Oreochromis niloticus: one gene and its partner. The protein of the gene in region 1 interacts with the protein of each later gene in a pairwise test. Links are inferred from orthologs where the notes say so. Each region holds a gene or a part of one and is shown on either strand. Other genes may lie near its edges.

Region 1 (7,475 bases):
ACGAAAGCAGTCCACAATGGGCATGTTAGCTTCAGAGATGCAAGCAGCCTTGTTTGGCGGGCCTGACCAGGTTGATTAACAGTTTGGTTGTCTTGAATTTCAGCTCTGCAAGCTGACTCTGACTTGAAATATAATGTGTTGAGATTTGTAGTTCCTTAGAAATCTTGAGGCAAATTTCGCTGTAAAAATATATAGATCACTAGATTTGACTCAATGTTGTATCATGAACATGCACTCATGGTCTCTAAAAGTATACGTTCAGGGAGGGGGCCATTGAAATTGTAGACCACAGTTCTACTCTGATAAACTTCTTCTGTGTTACATAACTATCTTCAATGACCACCTTCAATTATACTCCCTCTTTTCTCCAGCCAAAGGTTCCAACTCCCTTACCACATCCGACTCCCCTGCCAAGAAAACACATTTCCCTTCCAATCAGTCCTAAGACTGATGAGCCAGGAAAATGTGCTCCCCTGTCTCCCACGAAATCTGGAGAGGTTTGGGTTAAGTTGCCTACACGCTCAGAAATTTAAGCAGTGGCTATATATAAACATATATGGTTGCATTCTAATCATTTTTAATTATTTGGTGGATTGTTTTGTTTTTTTTTGTTTGTTTGTTTCTATTTTAAACTCAGGACATCTGCTCGAGTCCACCACCAGTCCCACCAAAGAAGTGGACTGTTAGAAAGAGTTCAACAGGAAATGAAGTTTTTGTGGAAAAAATGAAGGTACCACTGGTCTATATCTAGTGTGTTTTTTTTTTCTTTCAGCATCTACTCACACAATGAATGCTTTTAATGTGTCACAGAAATGTAGTTTATCTGAAAGCAGTTGAAGTGCATTCATAGAATCTGAAACTGGTGTCTCTGATCAAACTCTCTGTCATGTGAGATAACACATAAAATATGTGCACTGTTCAAACAGGATTAACGTGTTTAAGGTTCATCTAACAAACGTGGATTGTTTCTCTTTTTCTAAGATGCTGGATCAGTGTTTTAAGGATGAAGGTGAACGCCCTCCACTGCCTCCTAAACCCCATCAAATGCAGCTTGATGATGAAAATGAATCCCTGGTAATTACTTAAAATAAATACAGCATTAAATTGATATTAGGTGATTGTTTTGTCATGTTTTAGACACTTTAAATCATTTCTCTTTAATTAGGATGCTGAGAGTCTGTCAAACTCCTACGAAAAGTCAATACGTGAGTAAAAAGATCCAGCTGGCACTAACTGCTGTCGGGGTCGGCGTGGCTGCAGCCGGCGGTGTTACTGGTGCATCAGCAGCCATCGCAAATAAGGTGATGGTCTTTAAGGCACCGCCTTAAAACATCTTTGTTCATGGTTTTTGTAGGTTGATAGGTTTTCCTAACTTTTTAAGAGAAAATACATTTTTAAATCTATTCTGGTTCACTTTTGTTTTTGTTCTTTTGTTAATTTGGAGTTCCAGGACTTCAATCTAAAATGCTGAATGTCTTCTTTTACAGTAATAACTCTCCTGAGATCAAAAGCCCTGTTTTTATGTTATCACAATTTTTAAAAAAGGGTACTAACTGGAAACTACCCACTCTAGTTATCTGAATTTCTAGTATTGAACTGATTGTGAAGCATGTTTTTCCAGGTGAACTGCAACCAGGACCAGAAGAAAATTGAAAAGATCTTTACTGACTACGAGTCACTCAGTAAGGGCATTCAGGAGAAACTGGTTTATGTCCATGAGGGCATAGAGCAGCTGAGGCAGTATGGTGTCATCATGCTTGAGAGGACCAAGGTGAAGTCAGAGAGGGCCTCCAAGGTGCTGGAGTTCTTTGGTCAAGGAGGGCCATGTGCCAAGGTCTTGGAGGCAAACTCCAAGCCATCTGGGATGATAGAAGGCTTTGCCCTCGGCATGGATATGTACTTCATCAAAGGAAAAGATGGAACCAAGGTGAAGAAGGGCTTTGAGTCAAAGTTGGCAAAGAAACTCCGCTCCTTGGCGGTGGATCTCCAGGAACGACTGGATGAGTTCATCGAAATGAAAGAACTGTTTGAGAAGTATTGTTAGGAGGGTATTTTTCTCCACCTGAATATCTTTTGTTTGGGGGTTGTCTTTTAATGTTAATTTTCAGTTTTACGAAAGTTTATTGATCAACATATATTTCCTCTTTGGCAACAGGTTCGAAAACAGAACAAAACTTTTAGTGCAACTTTAGGAATTGTAACTTCAAGCAGTTTCTTTTAAATGGTTTATGGTTATTAATGCTGTATAAAACTGAGATTGTGTTAACCTCCCTTAATTTAGCTGTTTTCACCTATTAAGATGAGTTAACACCTTAAGATAAGGTGTTATGCAAACGCATTGTTAACCCTAGAACACTATCGCTGGGTGATTTACACCCGAGCAAATACATTTACATGATTTCTCTCTCCTGCAGCTGTTTGTGTGTCGAGGAGCCTGTGCCTTCACCAGGGAAGTCTCAAATTTCCCAGGAATGGGTGGACCAAAGACCAGCTTTCCAGAGTCATTATTTTGTTTTAGGAGGGTTGTTTTTTTTTTTCATTTTGTTAGACATGGCACAGTTGAAAGTAAAAGAAGACCACTCTAATTTGTCATGTGTTGTCATATTTTGATATATTTGATTACTTTTTATTGGTTATATTATATCGGGTAAAAATCACCCGGCATTAGTGATTGTGTTACTATTTATAGCGATAGTGTTCTAGGGTTAAACGCAATCGAATGACATGTTTTTTAAAAAGACTACTAAATAAACCGATTAAAGATCGACAAAATCCACCAGGGGGCAGTGTAGTCCTTCTTTTAAAAAGTTTCAGCTGATGCTGAGTACACATTTTTAAAATACATAGACTTTTATCATTCCTAGCTTGACTTTATATGTGGTATAGTTATACATGTCGCATTTAAAAACAATTTACACAAAAATGTGAGTGGTTGTTAACTGGAAGCTTAAAATGAAACATTTTAAATGTTACTTCTCCATAAAGTTACTCAGGCACCAGACCTGACTGTGTGTCATACAAACCATATGATAATTTACAGAAATGCAGTCAAACCCTTTCTCAGTGTATAATCAAATATTTCTGCCTATCATTCTATCATTCAATTTTTGACTGATTAACCTAGTTATGCTATAAACTTTTTTACATTTCCACTCTATCATTATCATTTTCTTTGAGTTGTGAAAAATTTGTCACTTGAAAAAAAAAGAGTTTGGGTCCAAATTAATTTCACCTTCAGAACCAATAGTGTCTTATTGAATCCCTTGCAACAGCATAGTTAAGGCTCCCTCATAACATGAATAGTTAAAAATAGCCATGATCAGAAATGGTCTCTTTTACTTCCTGATACCAGTCTCACATCCTTCACCTATCGTGGGGGTAAAATCTCAGTGACATAAAAACGACAACAAAAACTTGGAAAGAGAAACTGTTTTTGGAGAACCACAAACCAGACCCAGGTGTACTTTCAGATCCGCTGTCCTGCAGCTTATATCGGGATCTTTCACCCCTATTTCAACTATGGATGGAGGTTGTTTTATCTATGTTTGCCTTATTATCATTCCTTGTTTATTACACCATGGCTGGCTCTAACAAGTGTATCTAGAAACAAAACTGAAGATTTTATTCAGACACCAATTTTGGGTTTTAGGGGGCTGCTCTAATATTTGGCTTCAACACCATCTTTGGTTTGAAAAAAGAAACAGTGCATTTGAGCTACAATCAGCATTTTATTTACCTCACTGACTACTTTGACAGTCATCTAAAATGATATTTTCCCTTTACAAAATTATTCCAGCCACATTAAACCATCATGTAGGGTGGAAACAAAATAATTATGATGAAATGTATGAAGTGGGCCTCGCTCTGTAGTCTGCACAGTCTTGTTCAGTCCAAATAATAGTCACCAGGCTTGTTCGACCAGAGAAAGACTGCTTAAAATGACAAGGGTGTGACCCTACATTTGTTAGACATGAGCAGTGAATCATGTCCGTCTGTATGTGAATAAAATATAAAATGGGGCACGCTGTGATCTAAATTAACCGTCGACCTGTTAAAACAATAGACACCTGCGCTCCAGTACAATGAATATTATGGCAAAAATGCGATTTGAAAGGTTTTGTTACAAACAATAAAACAGCTCCAGGCCCATAAAATACTGCCTCGTCTCAATGTTTACATTCTGGATTTGACCTATATTTTACGTCACAGCATCCATGTGGATCTACTTTGATGCGATTCATCCAACCAGTTACAAACATCAGTCGGGCGGAGGGATCCCACTCGCAAAAAATGTTCGTTTGTTTAAGTTAACCAGCATGGTCGAGTGGCCACGCTTTTGTTGACTGTTGTGAAGACCTCCCACTCGCGCTGCTGGTTTCACAGTGAACAAACGCCCTCGCGCTGGGTGCGGAGCGATATACGCAGCAGTACTTCGGCCATATATAACCCCCCACGCGACGGCTCGACCTGTTCTTCGTTCGTACAGCTCCTGAAGTAAACACACATTACGCGTAGAAGCTGTAGCGGGCCAAAATGGCAGTGTAGAGGCGTGCGGCAGCTAACCTTGCAGCGGCAACAAACCGGCAGTGCAACGGCTACGTGCACTGGCTTTTTCTGGCAAAATGGCGTAAGTAATTTTTTATCGACATTTTTGCAGTCTTCTAAAGAGAAAAAAATTATAGCCACTTCTTGTAGTAACTAATCTGTCAACTAGAATGTGTCACTGGCTATTAAACTTGTTGATCAAGGCTATTTGTTTTTGTGAAAAAAACTTGCTAAGTGTGTTTTGAGTCATAGTTCCTTGTTTAGAGCTAGGGTGTCAAATTACAGTATACCAGCTGAAGTAGTCCGAGCCGGCGCCTTACTTTGTGTTGTGAATCATGCTAACGAGCCGTCGATTGGGCACTGAAAACATTTTAGACTTCTCATTTTAATTTTTAATTTTCTTCAGTGGCTGCGACACGGTTGTCAGTGTGGTACTAAAAACATTTTTAGTGTTTTGTATACGTTTCACATTGGCAACGTGGCGTCCAAAATGGCGCGCGCTGTGGGTTTTTAGCTCGTTCCCCGCCTCGCGCAGATGGCTCTGTTGTGAAAATGGCGGTTTGCCCTCCCACATCTCCGCCATGACTCATAGGCGTGGGTGGAGTTACCAGCTAAAGCATGACCAAATTAGGCAAAGTTATCCCCCCCGGTGGAGGGCGGAGTTTCCCATCAATACAGCTTTGACGCTCAAGGGGAACGGATTAGCCAAAATTAGACACCCCCCTCCCCCATGACAGGGATGTCAACTCCTTTTAATGACCCTAGTACATACTACCAGAGAAGCCTACATTGTCTGCACAAGGGTTGTCAGTCAAAAATGTGCTTGTTTCAGGAAGTACACCTGCACTGGGGAAACTTTGCATTTACAAATAAACTTGGCCCTGCCAGACATCAGATTTTCATAAAGTTTGAATATATCATTTCACAACTTCTGACAATAAAATGTGTCACTTCATTTTAGTTTCCATATGAATCAACACTAACATTTGCTTATATTCCTCATTTTTCTCTCATTAACATGATTTCTGTTTTCTTCCCTCCAACCAGGTCTCTCCCGGCAACCACCCTCAGCTTTGCTGCCGTCGACAGCATACGTGGACCTCTCGACTCACCATTGTTCTTGTACACCTTTTCACGGCTACCACTGACCAGCAGCAGCCATGACTCTCTCCCAGCTAGCCCTGGAGGACGTGGAGGCCCTGTACTTAGGTGTGTGTTGTGATGACACACATTGCCAAAGCACTAGTACAAACATTGCTGAATGTGGCGCTTTGTTTGCATAACATTTGGTAATGGTAATACCATTCCCAACAATACTAAAGCCAATGAAGTACAGTTTCATATGGTCAGCATGGCATTATCTGTAGATGGGTTAGATGTTTTAGTGAGTTATTGGATGAATGACAGATTTGTATGTATTGGATGCCCCAAATTAGAAGTTGACGGGCTGATCTTTTGTTCTCAGGGCCCTCCTTTCTGATGGCTGACCCCATGGGGCCCCTTCTGGACCAAGATGAAGAAGAAGCTCTTTCTCCCTCCTCCCTAGAGGGGAAGGCGCCAGCTTCGCCCTCCCTTTCTTTGTCCACTTATCCATCCTCCTCGTCCCCTTATCAGACCATGTCTTTCTCCCCGCTGTCTTTGGCCTCCCCATCTCCCTCTCCTCCTCCCACTCATTGTTCCTCGTTCCTGGGAACCAAGGCCGGAGCGGACTCGCTGTCCCTCTCCTGGCTGGGTGCCGGCGACCTGCTCGACGCCCATGTTGGAGCAGATGATGGCAAAGGTGAGTGCCTTAAAATACATGTTTAATGAGCAGGGGGCAAGTCCTAAATTTTAACAATTATTTTTCAAAAGCAAATAATTTGACAAGTTGTTGAACTGAATAGAAACCAAATAAAAGAAATGATGGAAGGTTACTAATTGGAGTATGTTTAGGACCAAACTACATCTTCCGCTCTCATTAGACTATAAAGTTGGGAGCATTTGTTGTGCTGTGAATATTTCAGAGGAGAGGCCCACTGTCAGTTAAGTATTTGAGGTTTGCCTGCAGGCTGAGGGCTGACGTTAAGGCCGTGGGTGAGCAACCTGGATGTTTGTAGGGCAACAAACTTTTATTGGTTTGAGTGGCGGGTGTGGCTCAGAGTTGTGCCGCAAAGACCGGCTCAAACTGGTTTTGTTAGACGTCATTGTGCAATAACACATTTATCCCTTTGTGCTTCCTGGCATCAGTTGAAGTTCCTTGTTTTGTGGATTTAGTCTCACTTGAGTATTTGTAAACGTCAGACACATAATCGAGGGAGAGATCAAATATGTGCCTGAGGTCATGTGTTGAATAGGGTTGGGTTATAAAGTCTCAAAACATCATCGCAATAGTTCAAGGAAATTTGTGATGTTTCTGACAATATAAAAAAAAATAAACACTTGATGTTTTGTTGATGCTTGCAGCCAGCAGCTATCGTAATATTTTTGGATATTGTATCTTGGGTCAAGATTTTAAATAGCAGCTTCCACCGTGTAACCACATCAGTAATTTACATCCGTGCATTGCTTTTTCTGTGATATGTAGTAACATGAATATAACCCACAGTGTTGATATTGTCATACGGCTTTTTAAATATGCTGTAAAAATTGATGCAGTACAATTCACAACCCTGGTATTTAACAAATAATTAGCTGTATGGAGTATTGCATAGAAATGATTCACTGTAAGAATAATCATCCAAATTTCTTAATGTTTATTGCGAGTATTAATGAATAATATCTGTCAGCAGATGATGCTTTTGCCGGCATGGACTGGATGTCAGAGAAAATCGACCTGAGTGAATTTGACCTGGAGTCTTTCATTGGATCCTGCTCCTCTGATGAGTCTCCCAGCTCCCCTGAAGATCTCCTGGCTTCCCTGGACTCCTCCATGGATTTAGATCTAGATGCCT
Region 2 (7,981 bases), on another chromosome or scaffold:
TCACAGTGGCATCCAGAGTTTTCAAAAATGACTCGGACACAAACTTCTTCACCTGCAAGCCAACATTGCACACAACTACTGTAAAGGCTCAAGATACATAAACTGGATGAGAAGCAACGGTAAAAGATTTAAAGAGCTGTAAACGGTGTATGGGTAGTAGGCTACTGCACCATGGCAAGGAGCTGTCGGAGCAGATCCGCAGGCACCTCCACCTCATTTTCTCCTTCCCCCAGGAAGAGTGGAGATACCGAGAAACTGGAGCTGACTGTAGAGAAATAGTAGTCAGGGTCGACTGTGTTGCTGTCTGGAAAATAGGCACCTGAAATCAGTGGGAGCAGAAGAATTATTAACAAAAACAAGTAGGATGAAATATGACCATTAGATCTCAGCGGGTACTATTTCAATAATATAGAAATAGTTCATTTTGTAAAATAGGGGTTTTTTTGTTACACATAATTCTACTGAATTTACATTCCATAGCAACAATTAAACCTTTCTGTGTAACAGATTAGGGCTTGTAATACAGCAGATTATAAGTGCAGAATTACTGAGATAAAACACTTTTTGAGTCTGTCCCAGACAATAAAAAAAAAACAAAAAAAAAACACATTCTCTAAAGGAGTTTGGAATGCTAGCATAGTTAACAGGAAATCTGTGGAAATACAGCAAATGTCACAAAACTCTAAATCTGACCACAAACAACAGCATGAATTGGTATTTCCAATTTTATAGGGTAATAGGGGATTGGAAATACCACTTCGGGCATAAAGCAATTAAAGGCCTTAGTATCAATCTGGCATAACGTAGCAGCTATAAAACTCAGCATGAACCCAAACAAAAAAGTCTAACCACAGTTACAACGTTTTTACTGTCAGGCTTATTACAATGTTACAGTATGGGGGATATTGCAGTTCACCCTAACAAACCTAAAACAAAGTGCCCAGTTGTTACATAATGCTGACAGACAGCTGATAATAACAAGCTGAGCTGAATTACCAGACTATAGAGTCAAACTAAAAACTAAGACACAATTATTTTTAAAGTAACTTCTGTTTCTTCAGTTTTACCTTCCAAGTAATGTGGACTAGGAGTTGTAGGAGAGCAGGGTGAGTGGCCTCCTGGATCTGTACTGATCTGTTTGAAAGCACATTACACAACTTTAATGGGTAACGAAACATACCAACATCATTGAATAATATAAATTAACAAAGCAAATAAAACTATTATTGCTCTGGATTCTCCCCTAATTATCCTGAACAAGCAAAACACGTCTTGAATCCGGCAACATGTACCGACCTGTGCAGATGAATCTAGGTTGGTCCCGGTGCGTCTGCGCAGAGTATCACTCTGGCACACTGTAAGCAGTGAGGACGGTAGAATAGAACGAAAGTCATTGAAGGATCTGCGCCGTACACCCTCTGTTTCCTCTGTAACGCATCGTGCCTGAGGAGAATCTTTGGGGAACAACTTGGATAACAGAGCTTCATCTGTGTGGCTGTAGCGGCCAAATGCCCGAGTCATGCCAAGCAGGCTGGGAACAATATACTTGCACAGGAAGACTGCAGACAAAAAAGAGCAGCGTTAAGGTTCTTTTTTTTGTTTTAAAAGCAAAAGTCAGAATGTTTGTTGCATTTCTATCTATACCTTTGTCATGATTATCCGGTGTTTGGCACATATCCTGTAACGCCTGCATGACCTCCATTATAGTGTTTAAGATCTATAGGGAAAACAGTGCAAAAACAGTGAGTTAGCACTTCAATGCAATGCACCCCAACCCTGAGAATAATATAACGATTTATCACCACTTTTTAAACAGACCTCTTGTCTTGAGTCTGGATCCCTCTGAGCCACATCTGACAGAAGAGTCACTAGACAGAAGCTGAAGTTTTCTGCTACAGGGAGAAATTCTGAGGAGCAGAAAGTTACACAGATACAGTTGAATTGAATGCCTCATAAGGTTGAACAAAAGAAAAGAAATAATGATAAGCAGATTTGCCAAAAATGTAAACATCAGATACAGAGCAACACAGCATTAAGTGGAACAGAAGCAGCAGTTCACAATATGCAATTCAAGTATAAATTAACCCATCTGTCCAGTGTAATACATCTCAATACAGTACAATTAATTAATAAGAATTGCTAGAAATTCTACTGCCACAAGTAAAAGGAGTCTATTGTAAAACTAAAAGCCTCACTATAAGAGGATTCTTCTTACCCTTTCCTTTCTTTCCTGAGCTTTCTTCGATCCATTGGACCCGTGGCAGCCCTCTCAGTAGGCTCAGCAAGTAAGAAACAAGTATGTCTTTGTGCTGCAGGAGTAAAACAAATCATTACACACCACAAACAAGTGGACTCGGCAGCATAAAATCAGCACTTTTGCATGCCTGACAAGCACTGACGGATCAAAACAACGAGGTTATCTCACACAAGCAAATCTGGGTCAAAGAAAGTGTATCACAGCTTTAAAAATAAAAGTAAGGCATCCAGCACTATGCTGTCAGACAGAAAGGAAGCTTTCCCAACTGTGTCTAAGTGTGATGAGGTTAGCGGCTTACACGGCTAACTGCATGTCTAATCGCCAGCTTAATCAGATTATGAGAATAAGCTTATCACAGGGATACATGTAGAGTCCGAGGAGAGCGCAGGAGCAAACGTGGACTAATAGTTCTAATACAATATTACAATTACTATACCTGTGAAACAGAGTTTGATAAGCAGTTAGGAAAATAGAAAATTGGTATTGTGTCAATATGCAATGCCAATACTTCACTATCTAATGACCTAAACTATGAAATCTTAAATCTACTGTATTACCATAACAGCTTGAAGTAAAATGAAAATACTGTATTCAAAACACTCCTCAGCCTTTTACTGACAACCACCCACCTGTAAGCCAGATTCCACCAAAAACACAGCCAGTGCAATAACAGCATCTCTGCGACGCACATCCAGAGTGAACACACCACGGACTTCCACTGGACACATACATTGCAGCTTCTGGACCTAAAAGGCCAAAAAAGAATATTAAAGTAACAGTCCAGGCTGGTAATATTCACACATTAAGCTGATTTATCTCACTTGACAGCCCAGTGTGTTTGTGTCACACAGCATATGAAAACATAACACTACAGCATTAGACAATATGTCAAGTGTTAAAAACTGTTTGTATAGAAGCTTGTTTCTGCTACTGAAAAACAAGCATGTGTTACCATCCATAAGTCAAAATTTGGGGGTTATTTTCTCAAGTATTACCCTTAATAACTTGAAATTTCAAGTCATTTTCTAATAAGTATGAGTTACTAAGTAAAAGTTTTGAGATAATTACCAAAAGTTTTGAATTACAGATAGCAAAATACTTTTTTTCAGTTGTGGAAGCAAACTTCCAGATGTTTCAGAGTGAGTGTATGTTCAAATGAAAGTAATATTTGTTAAGACTTGCACTGTTCAATTAAATTCAACAACACTAATAGAGAGAAATCCCCAACAATCAGACAACCCTCCCTTATGAGCAAGCACTTGGCGAAAGCAGCTAGGAAAAACTCCCTTTTAACAAAAATAAACCTCAAGGAAAACCAGACTCTGGGAAGGGCAGCCATCTGCCAAGACAGCTTGGGGGTGGGGGGTGGGAAACAGGACATAAGACACTGTGGAAGAGAGCCAGGGCTTAATAATAACTAAGGGTTAAAAGTAAAGTGAGATATAAACACAGGGACAGTGAAAAGAAAAAGAAGAAGAAACATGGTGCATCATGAGAAGCCTCCAGCACCTTGCCCTATTACAGCTTAACTAAGGGATGGCTCAGGGTCACCTGATCATCTACCCGATGACATCTGGAATCTGTACACTTTTATGCACACTGTGTAACCCAGCAAGCCAGAGATATTAAGATACATGCATTTATGATATCAGATAAACTGCTAGGCAGTTTCCTCCCTACAGCTCAAACACACAGTAGAACTGGGAATTACATAACATAACCCATAATAGCCCTTAAAGTTACAACACTTGGTGACAGCTTATTGATAATGGCTTCATATGTTCCCCTCTAATACCCTTTACTTTCATTTACAAAATGTACCCATTGTGTTTTGTTTTGTTTTTTTAAAAACCTTTCCTATATTGGCAAGACCCAACTATCAATCTGCAACAGGTTTCCAACTATATAACACATGTAGGCGGATTTTGATAGCAGTAAAGACAAACAGAGCAGCCTGTGAATGAACTCCTGTCTCAAACATTTCTCTGTAAACCTGTTTGACTGCAGTGCCGATCAAGCTTGACCGCTCTGTCCGTCCGATGCAGTAACAGGCACCACACAGCAACGCCACTTTCCTCTGCACTGCCCACTTTTCTGCTTCAGGGTTTTGGACACCACGGCTCGCGTTTTAGAGATTTCTAACCACGGAGTCGCGCACACAAACATACAAACATAACTGTTAAATGTTAGCTTGGTTGTCATGTCGTTGATCAAAATAAGCCACCGCCTGTGCGGAAGCGCAGCTACACCCTGAACAACCCTGCCACTGCTTCTAATTACTAACATGGTTAATTATTGCGTGTTTTTGGAGCTCAAGCTTGTTTTCTCACCTTTTCGACCGGTGCGGGGCGGTGTGCGGCCAATGAGCGGGCCAGCGACAGGACTGTATTAAAATAAAACCCCCTCGTACCACCTCCCATTACGGACATGTTTACCCCTACATTAAACCAGCGCAATTCATCGCTGAGAGGAAACAAGCGAGCGGGGCTGCCTGGGAAAGCCGCAGTACGGCAACTCAGCAGGGACATTTCTAACAGGGGCTCTTCGTTACCGTAGCAACTCACTCACAAAGGGCTTGAAATAGATCAAATTAAGCAAATGTATGGATTGTATTTATATTATTTACATTACAACCTGCGTGGGTTTTTATCAGTAAGTAACCCCAATATCGCCGTGGTGTGCGTTTCCTTTACGCAAGATCAGCTGTCGCGACAGTGTGTGTGCAACGTCATCAAACGCGATAGGAAGAGTTCAGTCAGCTGATAGAGCAACAACAGCGTCTGCCACGGCTCCTGTGGTCAAAGGTTCGTCTGTTAAGTTAATCGTTCTTTTTTGTGTCTTTTTTTTTTTTTTTTTACACTTTCGTTTTAGACAGCATTTGTTCAATAAGAGAAAATTGCCTGTGGTGACGCTTGCGGATGTGGTCGTTTTAGTTGACTGGCAGTTAAGCTAACAGTTGACTAGCAAACCAACACCCCGGCGATACATCAAACATTTCTTGACTTGCAATACTGTTTTATTTTTCTCCTCTTAATATAACACAGCAGGTATTGTTGCAGATGATTAATGTGAAATATGTTGACAAGCCTAACTGTTGCTCGAATTACTTGTTGGACAACGTTGAAGTTAGCCGAAGCTAACACGCTGGAGCTTTCGTAATCGCACGAGTTCAGACAAGTTTCGAAATGAACAATTAACCTTCTTTTATCAACAAAAACTTATTGTTGTAATGAAACTAATTATTATCTAAATAGCAGATGTATTATGTTACGCATCGTTTAATTACCGGTATTCAGCTATCCGATCCCAAAATATAGTACATAACTTTTCTTCCCGACGAGGTGCGATCTATCCATCGATCTATCCATTTTCCTCCGCTTATTCAGTTCATGGAATTCAACATGTTGTGCCAAAGAGTGGACTTAAAACTACTTGGTAATCAAAATATTACCAAAACAATTAGCTTCGAAAGCTGGCTTAAAAAGCAGGAGCAGTGTCCTGTGTGTTAGCTCTGCATTTCTCCCTATGACTCGTGAGATGGGTTCCAGTCTAACGCATGACCCTGAATTGGATAACCAGAAGAAAATGGATGGAATGGCTAGATATGTGTGCAGATGCCTGTGCTTAACTGAGCCTGGTTCTGCCGGAGGTCTCTTCCAGTAAAAGTTGAGGGCAGGGGAGAGGAGGGGATCCCCTCTGCTTACACGGAGGGGATCCCCTCTGCTTACACAGAGGGGATAATTTGGGTTATCTCTCTGCTATTATAGGCTTTACCTTTCAATGTAAAGCACCTTGAGACAACTGTTGCTTTTGCGAAATTAGTTGAAGTCACAATAAACAACACTCAGACTGTTTGAAGGATTTAATCAGTGAATAAGTGAATTTAAAAGATTATCAAGTCTTGGGAGACAACGTTTAAGAGGCGTGGTTGAGATGGTTTGGATATGTGCAGAGGAGGGATATTAGATCCATTGGACAAAGCATGTTAAAGATGAAGCTGACAGGCAAGAGGAAAAACAAGAAGACCACAGAGAAGATTCATGGATATAGCGAAGGAGGACATGCAGAGGGTTTATGTGGCAGAAGAGGATGCCAGGGAGAGGGTCAGATTGTGGCAGATAATCTGTTTAGGGAACCCATAAAGGGAGCAGCTGAAAAAAGCCAAAGATCATCAAGACTGGAACCAAATATCTAATCTTTTATTAACCTGTTTATAGTTTTATTGTGTTCCAAGAAGTTGTTTTAGTTTTAAGCAATCTAAAATCCATTATTTACAGGTAACAAAAACATGTAACTTGATGATCATGTGATACAGTTGAAAGGCTTATAGTCCTTTAGCTAAAATTACCAAAACATTCGTTTTTGCTCCACAGATGGCCTACCCTAAATCCCACAACCCGTTTGCAGATGATGACGAGGAGGAGGATTTCAAGCCTAAAAGTAGGGGGTTTGACGACGAGCCAAGTGACAGCGGGTTGAGTGAAGCAGAGAGGAGGCAGAGATGTCTCCAGCAGGAAGTGATGCGTACAGCGCAGTCTGCTGTGGATAGCAGTTACCGCTCACTTTCCCTCATCTATGAATCAGAGAAGATGGGTGTGGAAACTGCAGAGGTATCTTAAATGAATAAGGTTCACACTACTGTACAAAGAATTGACACTGTCTTTGAAAAGGCGACAATCAACAAAGAGTTATTTTTAAAGGCCCCGTCTTCCCATACCTCATCCTGAATTAGTCCCTTCTTGTCTACAGGAGCTGATGCGACAGGGTGAGGCTATAAAGAGGACAGACAAGATGCTGGATAACATGGATCAAGACCTGAAGACCAGTCAAAGGCACATTAACAGTATTAAGAGTGTGTGGGGCGGCCTTGTCAATTATTTTAAGGGAACGCCAGAGACAAAGCCACCACCTGAGCAGCCAAAGGGCTACAAGGCCAGTGAAAGGTAAGTTTGTTTTTATTCTCTGTGTCAGTGAGGTGTGGTAGCATCATCCAGTTTTAATTTCTGCATGTTTTAACTCCTTAACAAATCAAAGAGTTCTGTGATATAGAGGAGTTTCAATATATTAAAGTTTGATATGCTGTTATGTGTAGGGGCAAGTTATCATATTTTACAACAAAGCATTAAAACAGTTACTCTGAATTTGTGTTAAAGTAATGTTAACTTCTTTTAGAAGTTCAGGTAATTCATTTTTGTTTTTTACTTTCATGCGTACAACTTGTTATTGACCGTCTCTCCCTAAATGTTTGAACAATTCTTATCTGACTTTCTCAGATTACAGACTGCCTTGGCCAGCAGCAGAGAAAATGAAGATAAGTACCAAGCTAGCCACCCCAACCTAAGAAAACTGGATACGGGAGGTAAGTGTTGGAACAAGAACCTCAACATTACGCTATCTTCCCACCACTTACTGGCTCTCACTATTTCTTATTTCATTGTTTTAGGATTTGGAGCTACTGCATCAATAGATGATGGCTCATCTCAACAGAATGGATACCCTAAGAACATATACCTGAAGGAGGCTCACCAGACTCTTGACAAAAATTTAGGTAGGGAAATGCTGCACTTATTTAGTTACATAACATGTTTTTATATAAAGTTTGTCTGCTGTAATTGAACTGATGTCTTTTGTGAATGTCTTAGATGAGATGTGTGTAGGCTTGGGTAGACTGAAGAATCTTGGACTTGGTCTGCAGTCTGAAATTGATGGGCAGGACGACTCCAT

Evidence for each region.
Region 2: the proteins of atf4a (region 1) and snap29 interact in a two-hybrid assay, tested with the Homo sapiens proteins (2 studies listed by BioGRID and IntAct). The link is inferred for Oreochromis niloticus from reciprocal best matches to the Homo sapiens genes ATF4 and SNAP29.

What each region holds. Positions count from the first base shown.
Region 1 is NC_031971.2:9,245,014-9,252,488, forward strand, and holds the start of atf4a (cyclic AMP-dependent transcription factor ATF-4), read left to right. Parts: upstream 1-4,445; 5' UTR 4,446-4,627; intron 4,628-5,592; 5' UTR 5,593-5,705; coding exon 5,706-5,754; intron 5,755-6,010; coding exon 6,011-6,325; intron 6,326-7,310; coding exon 7,311-7,475. Other genes in the region: uncharacterized protein LOC106097202, read left to right, coding at 1,004-1,074, 1,166-1,301, 1,622-2,044. UniProt on the Homo sapiens protein: Transcription factor that binds the cAMP response element (CRE) (consensus: 5'-GTGACGT[AC][AG]-3') and displays two biological functions, as regulator of metabolic and redox processes under normal cellular conditions, and as master transcription factor during integrated stress response (ISR).
Region 2 is NC_031977.2:26,077,516-26,085,496, reverse strand, and holds the start of snap29 (synaptosomal-associated protein 29), read left to right. Parts: upstream 1-4,922; 5' UTR 4,923-5,061; intron 5,062-5,142; exon of another isoform or gene 5,143-5,304; intron 5,305-6,630; coding exon 6,631-6,867; intron 6,868-7,006; coding exon 7,007-7,200; intron 7,201-7,530; coding exon 7,531-7,616; intron 7,617-7,700; coding exon 7,701-7,805; intron 7,806-7,899; coding exon 7,900-7,981. Other genes in the region: pi4kab (phosphatidylinositol 4-kinase, catalytic, alpha b), read right to left, coding at 1-52, 171-319, 1,068-1,134, 1,297-1,559, 1,645-1,717, 1,819-1,907, 2,216-2,309, 2,887-3,003 and 1 more. UniProt on the Homo sapiens protein: SNAREs, soluble N-ethylmaleimide-sensitive factor-attachment protein receptors, are essential proteins for fusion of cellular membranes.